Drosophila melanogaster: one gene and its partner. The gene in region 2 interacts genetically with the main gene of each other region. Each region holds a gene or a part of one and is shown on either strand. Other genes may lie near its edges.

Region 1 (6,897 bases), on a different chromosome or scaffold from region 2:
TTTATCTTGTGCAAAACCATGAGGAATCAACTTCTGATGGGAAGAATCCTTTTTTTCCAACTTGCTGCTGCTTGTGTGTCGCTTTGACGTTGCCGACGCTGCCGTGCTGCTTGCTTTTCGCTTCTTCCGTCGCCTGCTTTTGTCGGTTTCAAGGGAAGCCGATGCGAACCAAACCGAAATCCACGAACTTTCTATGGAAGATGGCAACAAGAAAACGCACAGTGTCCCGTGGAATGTTTCGAAACTGAAAATACCTCTAGCGAAAAATGTGCCTACGAAATTGATAAAAAAAAAAAAAAAAAACCCCATCTCACTGCCACATCATTGTCATCCCCATTGGATAAAAGCTAGCACGAGATTTTTTATCGCGGAAAAGCAATGTGTTGTAAGATTTCTACTCTAATATTGTTATTTGATTCGATCACATGAATGCATTAACCATCAGAAACTATAGTTTTTGGGACTCAATTTTTATTTTTTTGAATTTTTTGAATTGAATTTTTTGATTCTTGGAAACGTTCGAAACATTCGGACAGATCGAGTTGATCAGTTCACAGGATAAACTTTTTCATTTTATTAGTGTTCTATCAAAGTATTAAGTATTGCTACTTTACGTTACATATTAGGCAATCTACAATATGTATGTAAATATAATCCTACAAAATCCCATAAGGATTCAATTAAGACTTTGTTTGTTGTTTTTCCAGCGGAAAAAGCCGATTTACCACCGACGCAATCCTGTTCCAATTTAAAAAAAAAAAAAAACCTTGTTATTTTAAGTTTTTGGAGAGGAACATAAATGGGACCTTTTCAAGGCCCGAAGTCTTCAAGATTATTGCTTCTTATTTTATTGCTGAATTATCAGATTTGTTTCCTCTAACATTAATCCCTCAATTCTTTAGTCAACATTTTTTCCACTTAATAGAACATTATTTTTTGTCAGCATTCATAAATTGTCTAAATAGTTGAATATTTCGCCAGACTATAGAACTAAAATCGAATTTTATGGCTTTGACATTAAATAGACTTTCATCATTTGCTTCTAAGAAGAAAAACCCAAGAATCGCTGACAGTGCAATTAAAATTGAAGAGTATTTTAAAATTACAAATGCACAATAAATTGTAATTCATTAAAATTCATCATCGAGTTACCACTAATGAACGGGGTAAGTTGCCGTCGGTAAATTTTAAAATATTATCATCGTATCTAATCTTAGCATTTACTTACTTTTGTACAGAAACTTCGAGTAATCACAATCCATATCGCATTGGTGTAAAGCTCCAGGATTAGATGCTACTTATTGCGCGGCTGCTCCGATTGGCTAGGATATGGTCTAGATGTGCGAGGATTCCGAAAGCTGGAGAAGATCTCTATCTCGAAATGGAGAGCTGTGCGGATTGATTGGGCTATTCACAGCACCTTCTTCGGCGAACTTTTTTCGCGGACCTTGCAGGGATCGAAGAAATAAACCCAAATGCGGATGCTTATCAGTGAAAACCGATCCATTTTTTAGGATTTAACCGCACTGCACATTTTCCACCGTCGCGACTACGATGATATTTATACGAATTATACGGATTATGTTTATCTTTCGCGATTTACATGACCAATTGTGTCATGAGCCCGGCTTTTTTGTTTTAATTTGCATTTATTTACTCTTCGCTTATGTTTCGGTTTCTGTTTGTGTTTCTGTATTGTATCGCAATTGGTCGTTCATTGGCTGGCATTACTGAAACTTAAATCCACTTCCAAATAAGTGTATCGTGCGTTTTTAGTTTCCCCTGCAGGTTGAATTATTGTTCTTTTTTTTGGATTTACTTTCTGGTATTTACACAGTGGTAATGGGAGTCGAGTTTACACTTGGTCGATGTTTACCGAATCTAGTCGCTCGATTCGATTGTTCGACGGAATGGGAATTGGCCACCATATCATTGATTTAAAGGCGTTAGTTAAGGTTGTTCTGATATCAGACGGATTCCTTAATAAATGCACTGCAAAAAAAAAAGCAACGTAATTATAATCGTTAAGGAGGGGGAACAATGGCTTGGGTATTATTTGTTTATTTGTATTTATACGTATTTTTTTTTTTTTTGCTGGCCCAACTCGCTTCAGTAGTTTTCCCGAAGACGATGTGCGGGTGTTTTTTGTGATTATTAATTTATTTATTTGTTTTTTTTTTGAATGGGGTGCAACAGTTGTGCTGCAATCAGCACAAATAAATCTTTGTGGGTGATTCATAAGCTGTCAAATAAACGCATACAGCACTGCACAGCACAGCAAAAAAAATGTTGGAAAAAAAATAAAAATAAAAACACGATGTAGAACAAAATATTGGTATTGGGCAGAATGGCCGAAAAGCGCTCCGAATTACCTGCGCATTAACAATAACGGCGCGAATCGGATAGGGATACTATCCAATCCAACACTATCCAATCCCAATCCACTCCACGCTCTCTATATGTAAACTTAGCACACACGAACGCAAATTTACACTGGCATACATGAAATGCAATTATTATTATTATTATTATTATTATTATTTTTTTGTTTCCACGGTCTGTTTCAGATCCGGTTGCAGCTTATGCGAAGCTAATTAAACTAAAACTATAACTACAACTTTGTTTACACAACACACCGCTGGCCGAATGCAACGTCGAATTGTGCTAAAGCGAACCCATTATTTAAGATTTCATTAAATCCGCGACGTTTTTTCCTCCAGGGCACATCATCTGATGTTGATGGTTTTTCTCAAACTTTGCGCTTATTTTTACCGGCACACGGCGCAATCTGTTTGGCTTTGGACTGGGTACGAACTTGTACTTGTACGGTACACCGATAGAACAACATATCCGACGGATAGCGACGAACAAACGGAACGGGATGGGTTTGGCGGATGGCGGATGGTGGATGCGGATGTGGATGGAAATTCGGTACGAGAAGAAAAAACCGCAATTCGATTATATCTTATGGCTGGCGTTTGTTTTAATTTTAACTAATGTTAACTAGCTCTCGCAATCGAAATAACACAGACAGACGCAAGCGATGGCATAAACAGAACTACCAATAAGAAATTATCTCAAAATGTATTTCAGGCAAAAAGTAAAACAGTAAAAGCTCTTCTCATTGAGCATTCGCATTCGCACTCGGCTGCTTCCATCGAAAAATTTTTCGAAACTGAAAGCAGAAATATATTTTTCTGGCCATTCCAATTCGACTCGAAACTCTCTCGCTCTCTTCCTCGCTCTCTTTGTGCGCGGTTCCAATCGGAACCAATTGTGGAACCTAAGAGAGCGTTAATTCTAAGATTTTACATAAAGAGAATCCGTTTTTCTCTTTCATTTTCATACATTTTTATGTTTTCTCTTCCCCTAAATTATGTTAAAAGCTTTAATACCAAAGCTTCACTTTATTTGACAGCTGATTCAGCTGAAGGTGATTGCCGCCCTTTTTTGAACTCCACTAAAAAATGCCTATTTTGGTATATTTGATTAGGTTATCTGTTGATTACAATATATTTAAGCTGTTTGTCCAATTAGCGAAGATATTTAAAAAGTTTATTTCACTTTTTGATATGCTTTTAATTTAACTTTTAAATTAGACTGTGTTCCTGTTCGGAATACGGTCACACCGGAACAAAAACATAAACAGACCTTTGAATGCATTCCACTGTGCAGTCAAAAGTAATAAATATAAGCTCCTCAGTTTTATACGTCAAACTATCGCTTAAGCAATGTATAAAATTAGTTTATAAGTTGGTTACATTTTAGTTTATTCTCTTTTAATGGCTCTAAGTGACTATTAAATCCGTGTTGTGGTAGCTCTTTGGTTGGCTTGAATAGCCAGCAGTAACTAAATATAAAAATAAAGAAAGTAATTGAGAGACTTGGAGGGAAGAACAGCGCATACGCGAGAGTGGTCGAGTGAATGTTTACAGCGCATGAATTAGGTTTTGGTGGTTTATCTGAGTACCTCTAGCCCCATGACTAATGCTTAAAGATGGGCTGACTTGGGTGTAATCACCTGCCTCTACAGGTTTATTATCAAACACGGTGCAGTGTTGCAGTTAACTGCTTAGCATTAAAGCCCAATATAGGCAAGAGTGTTGGAAAGCTCATCTTTTCCAGCACTGGGTGCATTGTACCTCCAGTCGATTTGATTGGTGAACCAAACTGGTTATATTTTAGCCAGTGATAAGGGGTTTTCGGATCTGGACAAAGCATTTGTATGTTTATATATTTATATATATTATATTTATTTATTTATATATATTTATTTACTTATTTATTTATTTATATATATTTATATATTTTCATAGAACAATATATATATGTATACAGAAATATATGTCCAAAACGGTTAAAGAGGGATAATTTAAACTATTTTTTTTTGTTCGTATTTAAATTTTTGTAAGCTTTATATGGTTAATCAAATACTTATCGAAATCTGAAACTCAACTAGTGGATGCGGCCCACTGTATGTACGATACCGCTAAGCTCCCTTCAAAGGCAGTGGAATTGTTCTAAATGCGAACATCGATAATACTTATCGATATCTAGACTGATCCTCGATATCCATGACAATAATTAATACACATGACTAAATATGCAAAAAAAAAGCCCCAAGTGGACTGATATGCAAAAAAGCATTTCACCACGGCACCTGCGCATATAATGGTGGATAGCCTGTGGAACGTCCTTATCTTATCGTGTAAGGTGGACACGACACGAACACTAATCAGAGAATAGAGCAGTTCTAACTCACAATATTGATAAACAAAGTAAGGGCCAGCCGAGAGATACACGCGCATTTATTGGCAGCAAACAGAAGCCAAAACTACGGACATGTCCGAATCGGGAATCAAAAAGTTGAGCCAGGAGCGGACTCGCGAATGGTTGGCTAGTCAGGAGGACGAGGAACTGGAGTCCATTGCAGAGTCCTCGGTTGTGGACAGCTTGGACTACGATTATACCGAGGAAGAGGAGGATGCCGACCAAAATACCAGTGAAGAAATCAGCACTATGACACTAGGCACTCAAATCGGTGCGTAGTACTCAAGATCAAGTTTCTATATTCAATTTATAACACTTTCAATATATCCCCACCTTAAAGCTACCAAAAAGCATTCGATCATCAGCGACACCATAAGGGACCTTATGAACTCGATCAACAGCATTCAGACTTTGGGCAACGTTAATATAAGCAACTCCACGAACGTCCATATCGGCAATGTTACCAATATTAATGGAAATATACAAATCATAGCCGATGGCCTTACTCAAAACCGAAGAGATCGGCGGCATGTTTCACCACCGAGAGATAACGCTCCCAAAACTCCGACACATTTCGAAGACGACTATCAGGACGAGTCGGAGGAGAGGGTGCGCTCGGATGTGTTCATCAGGCGCCAGAGTAAGCTATCATTCACCAGGGGATGCATACACGTTAACCATAGGATACCGATTTCACTTACAGAATTCAAAATACCCAAGGAGCTGTCCGCCATCATTCCGCGCTCTTCGTGGCTAGCACAGAAGCCCATGGACGAGCCACTGCCCTTGCAACTGCCTGTTAAATATGTGGTTATCTGTGAGTATTCAAGTTTGCTGCACGTTTTAACCATTTTTTTGCCAACTGATTATAAATCAAGTTGTCTGTAAAAGTATGACGCAATAATTAAAACAATTTATACTATTTGATCTGACCATCATGCTTAGCACTCACTAACCTAAGATTATATCGTATTATAACTCTTTTCGAATATATTTAAAACCTTGATTAACAAATATTGTTTTACCACGCAGTACACACAGCTACAGAGAGTTCAGAAAAGCGGGCGATCAACGTAAGACTTATCCGTGACATGCAGGTAAGTATTTCGTTAGCGAAATTAAATCATATATGCTCCGAACTATATAATAATTATGTATATATATTTCAGTGCTTCCACATTGAGTCGCGGGGATGGAATGACATTGCGTACAACTTCCTGGTCGGCTGCGATGGCAACATCTACGAGGGACGCGGATGGAAAACGGTGGGCGCCCACACTCTGGGTTACAACAGGATCTCGCTGGGGATCAGTTTCATTGGATGCTTCATGAAAGAACTCCCGACGGCAGACGCCTTGAATATGTGCCGCAATCTGTTGGCCCGCGGCGTTGAGGATGGTCACATATCCACCGACTATAGATTAATTTGTCACTGCCAGTGCAATTCGACGGAGAGTCCTGGTCGGCGATTGTACGAGGAGATACAGACATGGCCCCACTTTTACAATATCGAGGAGGAGGAACAATGAGGGACAAAAGAAGAGCACCATTTCACATACTTAGACTTAAATGCACCCGAGTTACGTTTATAATGTTGAACATTAAATCACCTGTTTATAAATTTTCCAGCTACTGGCAGTTTCGTTAAGTTACTTTATATTTTGGTATAGTTTTTGCAGCGCTGAAAGGTGGAAAAACCACAAGATGTTTCGGAACCAACATCGCCTACCTGTTTTAATTCACAACTGAAAGAGAAGCAACAATTATACTGCACAAATATGAGCGAGCTAGCACCACATAAATACAGACAATAGTAATGCATTTGCTGAAAACAATCTATAATTAAACAAAAATTTGCGTACAGTCAAGTAAACAATTAACAATTAGAAGTGATTTTCTTTAAGCTTTGGCGGAGCCGAATACTTTTCCTTAACGTGAGCACGGTACTCCTCGTCATCATCGTGGCACTCCTTATAGCATAGAGTGCAAAAGAGTTCCCCACCACATCCGTGGCATCGGAAGTCGGCGTCTTCGTTACAAATATTGCACCAGGGCAATTCTTCGGTGTTGCCGGGCGACTCAGTGTTAATTGGACTAATTTCACTCTCGGAAGGTTCTGGTAAGCGC
Region 2 (8,437 bases):
GCCAATTCACCAATTCTACAGTTCCGAATCTAGGAAACGGCCATCTCGTCGTCGACAGAGAGCAGTGGGGAGCGTCGAAGAACTCTCATGGTCTGACCATTCCCCTGAAGCGACCCATTCCCTACGTCCTAATCACCCACATTGGAGTGCAGTCTCTGCCCTGCGATAACATCTACAAGTGCTCCATCAAGATGCGCACCATTCAGGATTCAGCCATTGCTGAGAAGGGTCTGCCGGATATCCAATCCAATTTTTATGTAAGCCTGTTCTTGTTCTGCACTCTTTTACGCGCCTCAATGGGAAACATAGTTCCTAAAATAAGCCTTGTATAATACTTTTTAAGCCTTAAAAATCAAAATTTCTTCGAGTGTAGTAGGGAAAAGAAATCCCGGCGCGTGCATTTGTGTTCCCATCACGTTCACGTGCCATTTTGGGCATTTCGCTTTCCGCTTACGCAAATTGTCAAATTTCCGAATTTGTTTCGACCAGGTTTCGGAGGAGGGTAACATCTACGTTGGCCGCGGCTGGGACTGGGCCAACACGTATGCGAACCAGACATTGGCCATTACCTTTATGGGCGACTATGGCCGGTTTAAGCCCGGTCCCAAACAGCTGGAAGGTGTCCAATTTCTGCTGGCCCATGCAGTGGCCAATCGAAATATTGATGTGGACTACAAACTAGTGGCGCAAAATCAGGTATAATTACTTACTATATATCTGGCATATCTGGTGACATAATAATTTAATTGAATATTTTCCAGACTAAGGTGACCAGAAGCCCGGGTGCATATGTGTATCAAGAAATCCGGAACTGGCCGCATTTCTACGGCTGCGGAATGGACGAAGCACCGGCCTGCGGCATCGAATTGGGCATGAAAACGGAATCGTGGGACGCCAAGCAATAGCTACAGACTTTTCTACCACCTAAGTGTAACCAAGCACAAACTGTATTTTAATACATATACTAAGGCGAATGGAGCTTTCTTTTAATCGGTTATGCTGGCTTCGAAACCAAAGTAAACCGGTTGGGAGCAAGCGGTTTATTTATAGTAATATATATATATATAGTGTCTCTCTTCCTCTCTGGAGCTCTGTTTAGTTTTACTGTCGCTCAAAAAGCTGGAAATTCCCAAGCCGCAGTCAACCTCTATCAGTGCCAATACCAGTACCCCTTTTATTCCCTCATAGACTTTAACACTCATCGATCTTGTGTGTGTCTGTGTGTGTGTGTAAATATATGAGAGCCTTTGTGCGCCAGTACAACATCATTATCGGTAGCTTCACTTCACTTCACTTATATAGACGATGTTGTGATCGCTGTGGCTGCCTTTGTCATTTATCTGCCTTTCAACGTGAATATATGTACAATGATAATAATGATGTTTTATTTTTGTTATCATATGGAGTCATTACAATCCTATTTACAGGAAGACTGGTAATAGCAGAGAAATATATTAAAAATGAAATGGATATTTGCCAATAAGATCTGCTATCATCACCGACCTTCAGTTCAAAGCCCTCAACAGAGAAGTACGTTCGATGATTTATATTGGTAAAAAAAAAAAGAAACTCCTTCGAAATGTTTATGTTTTTAACTTGCGCATCAAATGATGAGCTGAAACTATGACGACATGGAAAGCTAATAAACTAGTGGGTGTGCCTTTTAACCCTCTTTTCATCAATGACCTAAAGTCCAACCTGCCCAAAAGAGTGACGTACATACATTCATTGACTAATTAATCTCACGGCGCCTTAAAAAAAAAATTATACCTACAACGCGGAACGAATTTTTGGCCAAAACAATGACGAGAGTACGGCACGTGTAAAAACCAAAAAGAAGAAGAAAAAAACACATATGCGAAGAGGGAACCAAAAAAGTAAAAATAATTAATAATAATTAAGGTAAGAAAATATGTGGAGGTAGGTATATTAAAATAGCTATGGTGATTGATTTCGCAACCGTTGTAAAGAAATTATTATCTGCTTCATTGGAAATGATTTACAATAATTACTGGCATTTTTCGCAATAAAATAATGGGTCAACAAAGAATAGATTGCCTGGCTACAAAAGGCATAAATCATTAGATGTTTCGGTGTAGAACTTTAACTGCAATAAAATAATACATTTTAAAGGCCACTCAACAAGCTTATCAGTAAGTCAGGAACACTGAGAGAAAAAATATTATAAATAGTCTACAACTATTTCGATTAAAGCTCGTTGCGCTTTCCACTTATAATTATATTTTTATTTTTCTTTTCTGTAAGCGTGTTCGGAATTCGTTTCGCCAATTTGTTGCTCTTTACGTTTTATCCATCAACAGTTTCCCGGCGCCCTTTTCAGACTATCAGAGATCGCCGAACCGCCGTTCGCCTATAATTACATTAAATATTTTTCAACACAAGTACAATGGGTCAAGCTGGAATTGGAAGAGAAAAAAAAGAGCTATGTACACATGTACATATGTATACATATATATATATATAACTGGCCTGTACCACAAAGTGAAATAGCCAAAAACCGATTGCGGGCCGCAAAACAAAACAATTCTCGGAAATGGTAGCGCAATTTAAAATGTTCACATTTTTGCCCACACTGCAATGTCTGTAAGTGTTTTGGTAGACGGGAGAGAGCCGGAGATTTGTGTTGTTTATTGGTTGAATAAATAAAAAATATATATATTTATATACATACATATGTACATATATAATACGTATACGCCGATTTGTCTGTGTCGATGTCGGTGCGGACGACTAAACAACTAAACAAAAACAAACAGTCATCGTCAGGTGGGAGAAGTTGGAGAGACCATTCTCGAGCCACGGGGCGTAGCTGGAGGTATCGTTATAAATTTGACTAATATCTGGAAGATTTATAAAAAAAAACCCGAAATCGAGAACAGGTTCCGCGACTTAATGACGCTCGGAAAAACCGAAATATGCAGCTCGCCAGATGCAGTTATCGGAATTCTTTCGGTTTCTTGGGATCACTCGCTTTTCGTTTAAACCAGTTTCGATTGAGAAAAAGTTGTACCGCTATCATAAGTTATTAAAATGTACAGTTTTTTTTAAGGAAAATTTAAATCATTGCATTTTATTGGTTAACGCTAGATTACAAAAAGGATAGAAAATACAACAGAACGCGTTCATATTATGTAATATGTAAACACTATATGTTAAAAAATTATATTTTCTAAAACGATTTAGAAGTTTTTTGGAACAAGGCTTTTGAGTTGCACTCTTAAGATCTTTTGAGAAATCACTTATTAAAATGCAAATCGGTAACAAGTTGGACTGCCTGAAAATCGGACTCAAATTAAACAACTTTGGTTAAATAAACGCAAAAACGCCGACCGCTCTCTCCCCATCATTCTCTTTGTTTTTTTTTTCTCAGCGATCTGCTCTCCCTCACACACGCTCCCCACACGCTGCCATATCAGACGCTCCAGCTTTTCAGGCCGCTGCGATTTGATCGCCGCTCAGTTGATCAGAGTCACTCGAACGCGCCGCTGCTCAACGATTCGAAATTGGCGCGAAACGGTATAAAAAGTTCGACTTACAAATTGGCTATATAGTATAGACGCTCAAATATCAAACGAGCTGCAACGGTTTTCGTCGGCAATTTAAAGTGCGTAACGATATGCAAAGTGTTAATATAGAATAGAATATAGAGTGATTATATAGAATATTACACACCGCAAAATAATCATAATCCTATTATATGACTAGTGACAAATAATTGAGCAATTATATCGATATTTAAGTGCAAACTAGTTTGTTTCTCCAATCGTTTTATGTTCCAGGAATGTTAATTAGCCTTTCGAAACACGAAAGGAAGTGAAAGAAATTCGTGGAAGTGAAAAAGAAAACATGCTATCGAAACATCGATCGAAAATCAATTAATTTGCACATAGGCCATATTTAATGATAATTTTGAAAACACGTAAAACATCAGAGTTGTTAATTATTATCGATTCTCCAAACAGAATACAACCAAAACAAAGAGCACCCATATTGTGATGATCTGTGCGTGTATTAGTGACAATGGCCGCCGCTCCCGTGCACGTGTATTGGTGCGCTCGGTAAACTCAAAATGCCATTCCGTTTCTCATTTGTAGCCGTTGTCGTTATTCGGTGTATTCCATTTGGTGTTATCTCAAAAGCGTGCTCTGTGCCAACTCTCTAGAACATCGATTCTAAAGTATAAAGTCGCTACCCTCCAAGGCACCCTTTCAATTCTATCGAGTTTATCACAATTCGCGGAATTCTTTAAAATAGAGTTACTGTTTTGAAATTGGCACACCTCTTCGGAAACCTTCGTATCTACGTATCATCAAGACGTCACGGCATATGCCCATAATGATCTTTCAGCCTTTTGAAGACGTCACTCGTGGCTTTCGAATATCCAAAATTAAGCATAACATGCATATGTATGGGTAACAACTACTACTTTTGTGTTTCTCGGAATCCACTTAAGTAAATAGACTACGTCAATGATTATAGCTAATTTGCATAAGCCTTGCATTCGTGCGAGCTTACTGACCAACTATTTGAATCGAATTTGACGAGTATACAATATAAGTCAACTGTATACATACACATATATTCCAGCACTATTCAATACCCTTATATCTTAATTATACAAACTTCACTGCCATACAACAGCAGCAACGTTTTTTATTCGCGTTTTAAAAACTCTGTTGGCAATCGAGCTTATCAACAATCGTGTATACATGAACTAAAAGCGTTGATTGTACTTATAAATCATATTGCAACTGAACGATCTAATGGATTGTGATAACAATAAAATCACTTTTATAAAGCATGTGTAATTGAAAAGTATTAAAGAACTGACGAAATATTTTTCTAAATTGTGTGTGTTATCCAAACCGTTTAATAATGCTCAAAGCTATCAAATAAATATCACTTAGCTTATCGCATAATATAATATCAGCAATACATTGTTAAAATATATACATATATTTATCAATGTTCTAAAAACACTTGCACACAAGGGAATTATGTGGTTTTATCAAAAATAAAAAAATCAGTGCACCATAAAGCCAAAGTGCCTCCCCAAAGTTAAGCCCACTTTAGCCCAATTCAAACAAAAAATTTCTTCGAAATTTGACAACGTTTGACTAGCTTATTATCATCAAGTTAACCGGGACCAACAAAAAAAAAAACGTATACTTATTTGCAGATGCTCATGATGTGATGTTTGCCGAGAGCTGTGCCTAGTCAGCCGTTTTGCCATACGAAAAATAATGTACCGCCCAATCTGCTAAATAGGAAGGCTAACACATAACGCTCAGAGATCCAGAGAAAATATCAATCTGGTTACGTGACTGTCACGATAGTTCGACATGCCTTTTAGCAATGAAACGGAAATGAGCCAATGTTCCAATGCGAAACGTAGAGTAAACGATCCGTTGACTGGACCAAAAAACTGCAGTACTTCGTCCACAGACTCGGGCGTTATACTAAACGATAATGTGGCGGCATTCCGGCCGGAGAAGGAGACCAAAGATCGGGGGACGGGCGAAGGGCAGTTCCAATCGAAATCGGAAGAGAAAACGGAATCCAAGCGTATCAGCGTTGAGCACACTGTCAATATAACAACGGAAAATGTTGGAAAGACATCTTCGCCGGCGGTTTCCATACGGAGTACCACAATTTCCGTTGTGTCCATCGATGATAATGCCATCGACTCGAGTAGTATTGATAGTGATTCGGAGGCCGAAGCGGAGGATTATACGGTCCAGAAGCTGGGTCACCAGGTCACCTACCCGCCCAACAGTTCACACCTGCGCGACCTTAACCAGGGTCTAACGGTGATCAGTCGCCATGTGGCGCCAGGTGAGGCGGCAGTACCACCACCCAATCCCCTGGAAGCTGGCATTGTGGCCAAGCAAATACTGAACGGTAATCTGGCCGTGGCCACGCCCACATCGCCGGCGGGCGGTGCCACGCAGGGTATTGGCAGCATCGCCCTGACCAACTCCACAGATGTGACGTTCGGTGATAAGCATTTCTACGAGGGACCCGTGACGATACAACAGTTTCTCATCGATAATCGGGACAAGTGGAAACCGGGCGAGGGACCAGCTGGTGGACAGGATAACCCCGCATTCAATGGTGGTCCCAGCACGAATGGAAGTGCGCCGGGTAAGACATTCTAAGCTAATTTAATAGATTGTATTTTAAAATCTAAATCTGATATCGTTTAGTTTTTGTACACTATACTAAGAATGGAATCTTAAAAGTTGTAACTTTCGATTGCTTTCGCATCTTTCTGCATAGTTATTCTTGAGGATCGTTAGTTCGATAATTTCAACTTTTTAGTTTTCTATTCTAAAATATATATTTTCTGGGATATATATCCTTAAAACATATATATATTATTTTGCTATTTCCTGCTGCCTTTGTTTGCGTTTCATTTCTGTCTTCACCTTGCCGCGGTTCTGTTTGCTTTAATGGGCCAAAACTGAGCGCGTGTGACTATTTGTTTACTCAACCCAATTGGCCAGGTCTAACGACCGTGCTGCGAATGGTAGATTAGCAGATGGCCCACAAAGCAGACAGATTCATTGTATGCGCCTAGAACAAATACTACATGTTACTATAAAAACATATTAAATGCATTTAATTGCGCAAGGCAACAAAACTCATTATGGAAAATTTTGTTAAAATGCCAAATAATTTTATTACGTATAGAAAATATTTTAGCTTGAAAATTAAAAAATATTTATGAAAATCACGAACCCAAAATTTGTCTCACATAAAATAAAATTCATGAGAGAAAAAGTTTTAACGCCAATAGTGTCGGGGGATTTTTTAATATTAATACATTTTTTATTACTTATAGAACTCGTTTTTTATCTCCCTGTTTTCCGATTACAATCTCAGCACAAAAAAAAAACAAGTAAAATTTCATTCACGAAAAGAAAATGTATCTCTGCCGATTCAAGGCCCCGCAGCTCGTAAATCAAATCGGTGAAAACTTGCGATAATTACGCACAAAAAAAAACCATAGCAACTGCAATTGTTTACTTGATTGATTTTCACAATTACCATAATTAAATCGCCGTTCTGGTTGGCGAAAGTCTCCAATTGGAATTGAACCAGGGGTTCGAGTGTAAATTTAGTCAGCTGTAGTTAAGTGTTGTTTTTATAAAGGCAGGTGCTTCCCCTGGATCACGCAATAAATACTCATATAAAGCGGGGGGGTTTTTTGCGTGCGGCTTAAATACTTGCTAAATGAAAAAGTGAAAAACAAGAACAGTTCCTGCATACTATGTGCGCGGATCGGGAAAAGTACCCAACGATCGGTTTCAGTTGTTCATATAAAGCGATCGGAGAATGTCGAGGAACACGCTTGAAATTTGCCTAAAGTGTCACGGGATAATCGTAGATAATGACAGGCGTATCGAGTGTGATAATGTTTATTGTGGTCGGTCCTGTCATCGCAAATGCACGGAATTGTCCGAGGATCAGTTGAAATTGCTGGAAATGGTGCCCAATTTAAGGTGGAAATGTGACAACTGTCTGAATGGGGTGCAAATTGGAGCACAAATGAGCAAGTGGTTGGAAAAGTCACTGCGGGAACATGAAAAACGATTGGAAATCCTAGAACAGGGGCTAGTGAAGCGTAAGAAGAAATACTGAATATATAGCAAGCTAATCTTTGATTTTATAGGCTAAATAGAAAACTGAATAATTTATATAATCCTTCGTAAATCAAAATTTCTTTCTTTAAATTAACGAATATATTAAACTTTAACAAAGGTGGTTCCACTGTTTCCAAATAAAATTAAGTCTTTTATCTTTCATAAACAATAGAATTTATTATTAAGCCGTTAGAAATCTTTGCCTTATTCATTATTTAAGTTTTCCTTAACATTTTTTAAACAGCTTTCACTTACCCACACTTTTCAGGCTCCAAACACGAAGATCCGGCGCAAACCCCACCAATTTGTCCTTTTCTGCCCAACACTGTCGGACGCAAGGCCGTCACAGTTACAGTGGTTTTTGTAACTTTAACCTTCCTGCTGGGTATCGTACTGGCCACCACCACAAATCTCTTCGGAAAGACGTTGAACCAAAGTAAGATCAGAGATGACGACGATTACAGACAAAATATTCCAATCAATTCAACAATAGGTACAGTTTTGTTTCCCGCTAAGTGTGCAAAAGTGCTTCCTTACTAAACGAAAACCGAATTGGCGATCATGCTCTAACATATATCATCTCACCATCCCAACCAGCATGTGTATAATCCATCTTAATCTCATACTGTATATACATATGTAACTCATAAGAAACATTGTGTAGTCGTTATTGGGTACATAATCCATTATTCTGATCGCGTTTCTTATCACTTGTCAGTGTTGTGAAGTGACCTATAAATCAAAAGTGTGGCCTAAAGTTCAATTGAATG

What was found.
Region 1: of PGRP-LC (region 2) and PGRP-LE, changing one enhances a phenotype caused by changing the other (phenotypic enhancement), as found in Drosophila melanogaster (one study listed by BioGRID).

Annotation. Positions count from the first base shown.
Region 1 is NC_004354.4:15,800,653-15,807,549, reverse strand, and holds PGRP-LE (peptidoglycan recognition protein LE), read left to right. Parts: upstream 1-3,669; 5' UTR 3,670-4,223; intron 4,224-4,459; 5' UTR 4,460-4,842; coding exon 4,843-5,041; intron 5,042-5,110; coding exon 5,111-5,410; intron 5,411-5,473; coding exon 5,474-5,587; intron 5,588-5,802; coding exon 5,803-5,867; intron 5,868-5,939; coding exon 5,940-6,299; 3' UTR 6,300-6,397; downstream 6,398-6,897. Other genes in the region: CG15602 (uncharacterized protein), read right to left, coding at 6,654-6,897. UniProt on the Drosophila melanogaster protein: Peptidoglycan-recognition protein that plays a key role in innate immunity by binding to murein peptidoglycans (PGN) of Gram-negative bacteria and activating the imd/Relish pathway. Has no activity against on Gram-positive bacteria.
Region 2 is NT_037436.4:9,336,965-9,345,401, forward strand, and holds the start of PGRP-LC (peptidoglycan recognition protein LC), read left to right. Parts: upstream 1-3,473; 5' UTR 3,474-3,625; intron 3,626-5,200; 5' UTR 5,201-5,363; coding exon 5,364-6,165; intron 6,166-7,235; exon of another isoform or gene 7,236-7,359; coding exon of another isoform or gene 7,360-7,648; intron 7,649-7,935; coding exon 7,936-8,160; intron 8,161-8,437. Other genes in the region: PGRP-LA (peptidoglycan recognition protein LA), read left to right, coding at 22-257, 490-696, 762-905. UniProt on the Drosophila melanogaster protein: Major activator of the imd/Relish pathway and is likely to encode a pattern recognition molecule for the humoral immune response. Required for Relish processing and nuclear translocation following proteolytic cleavage.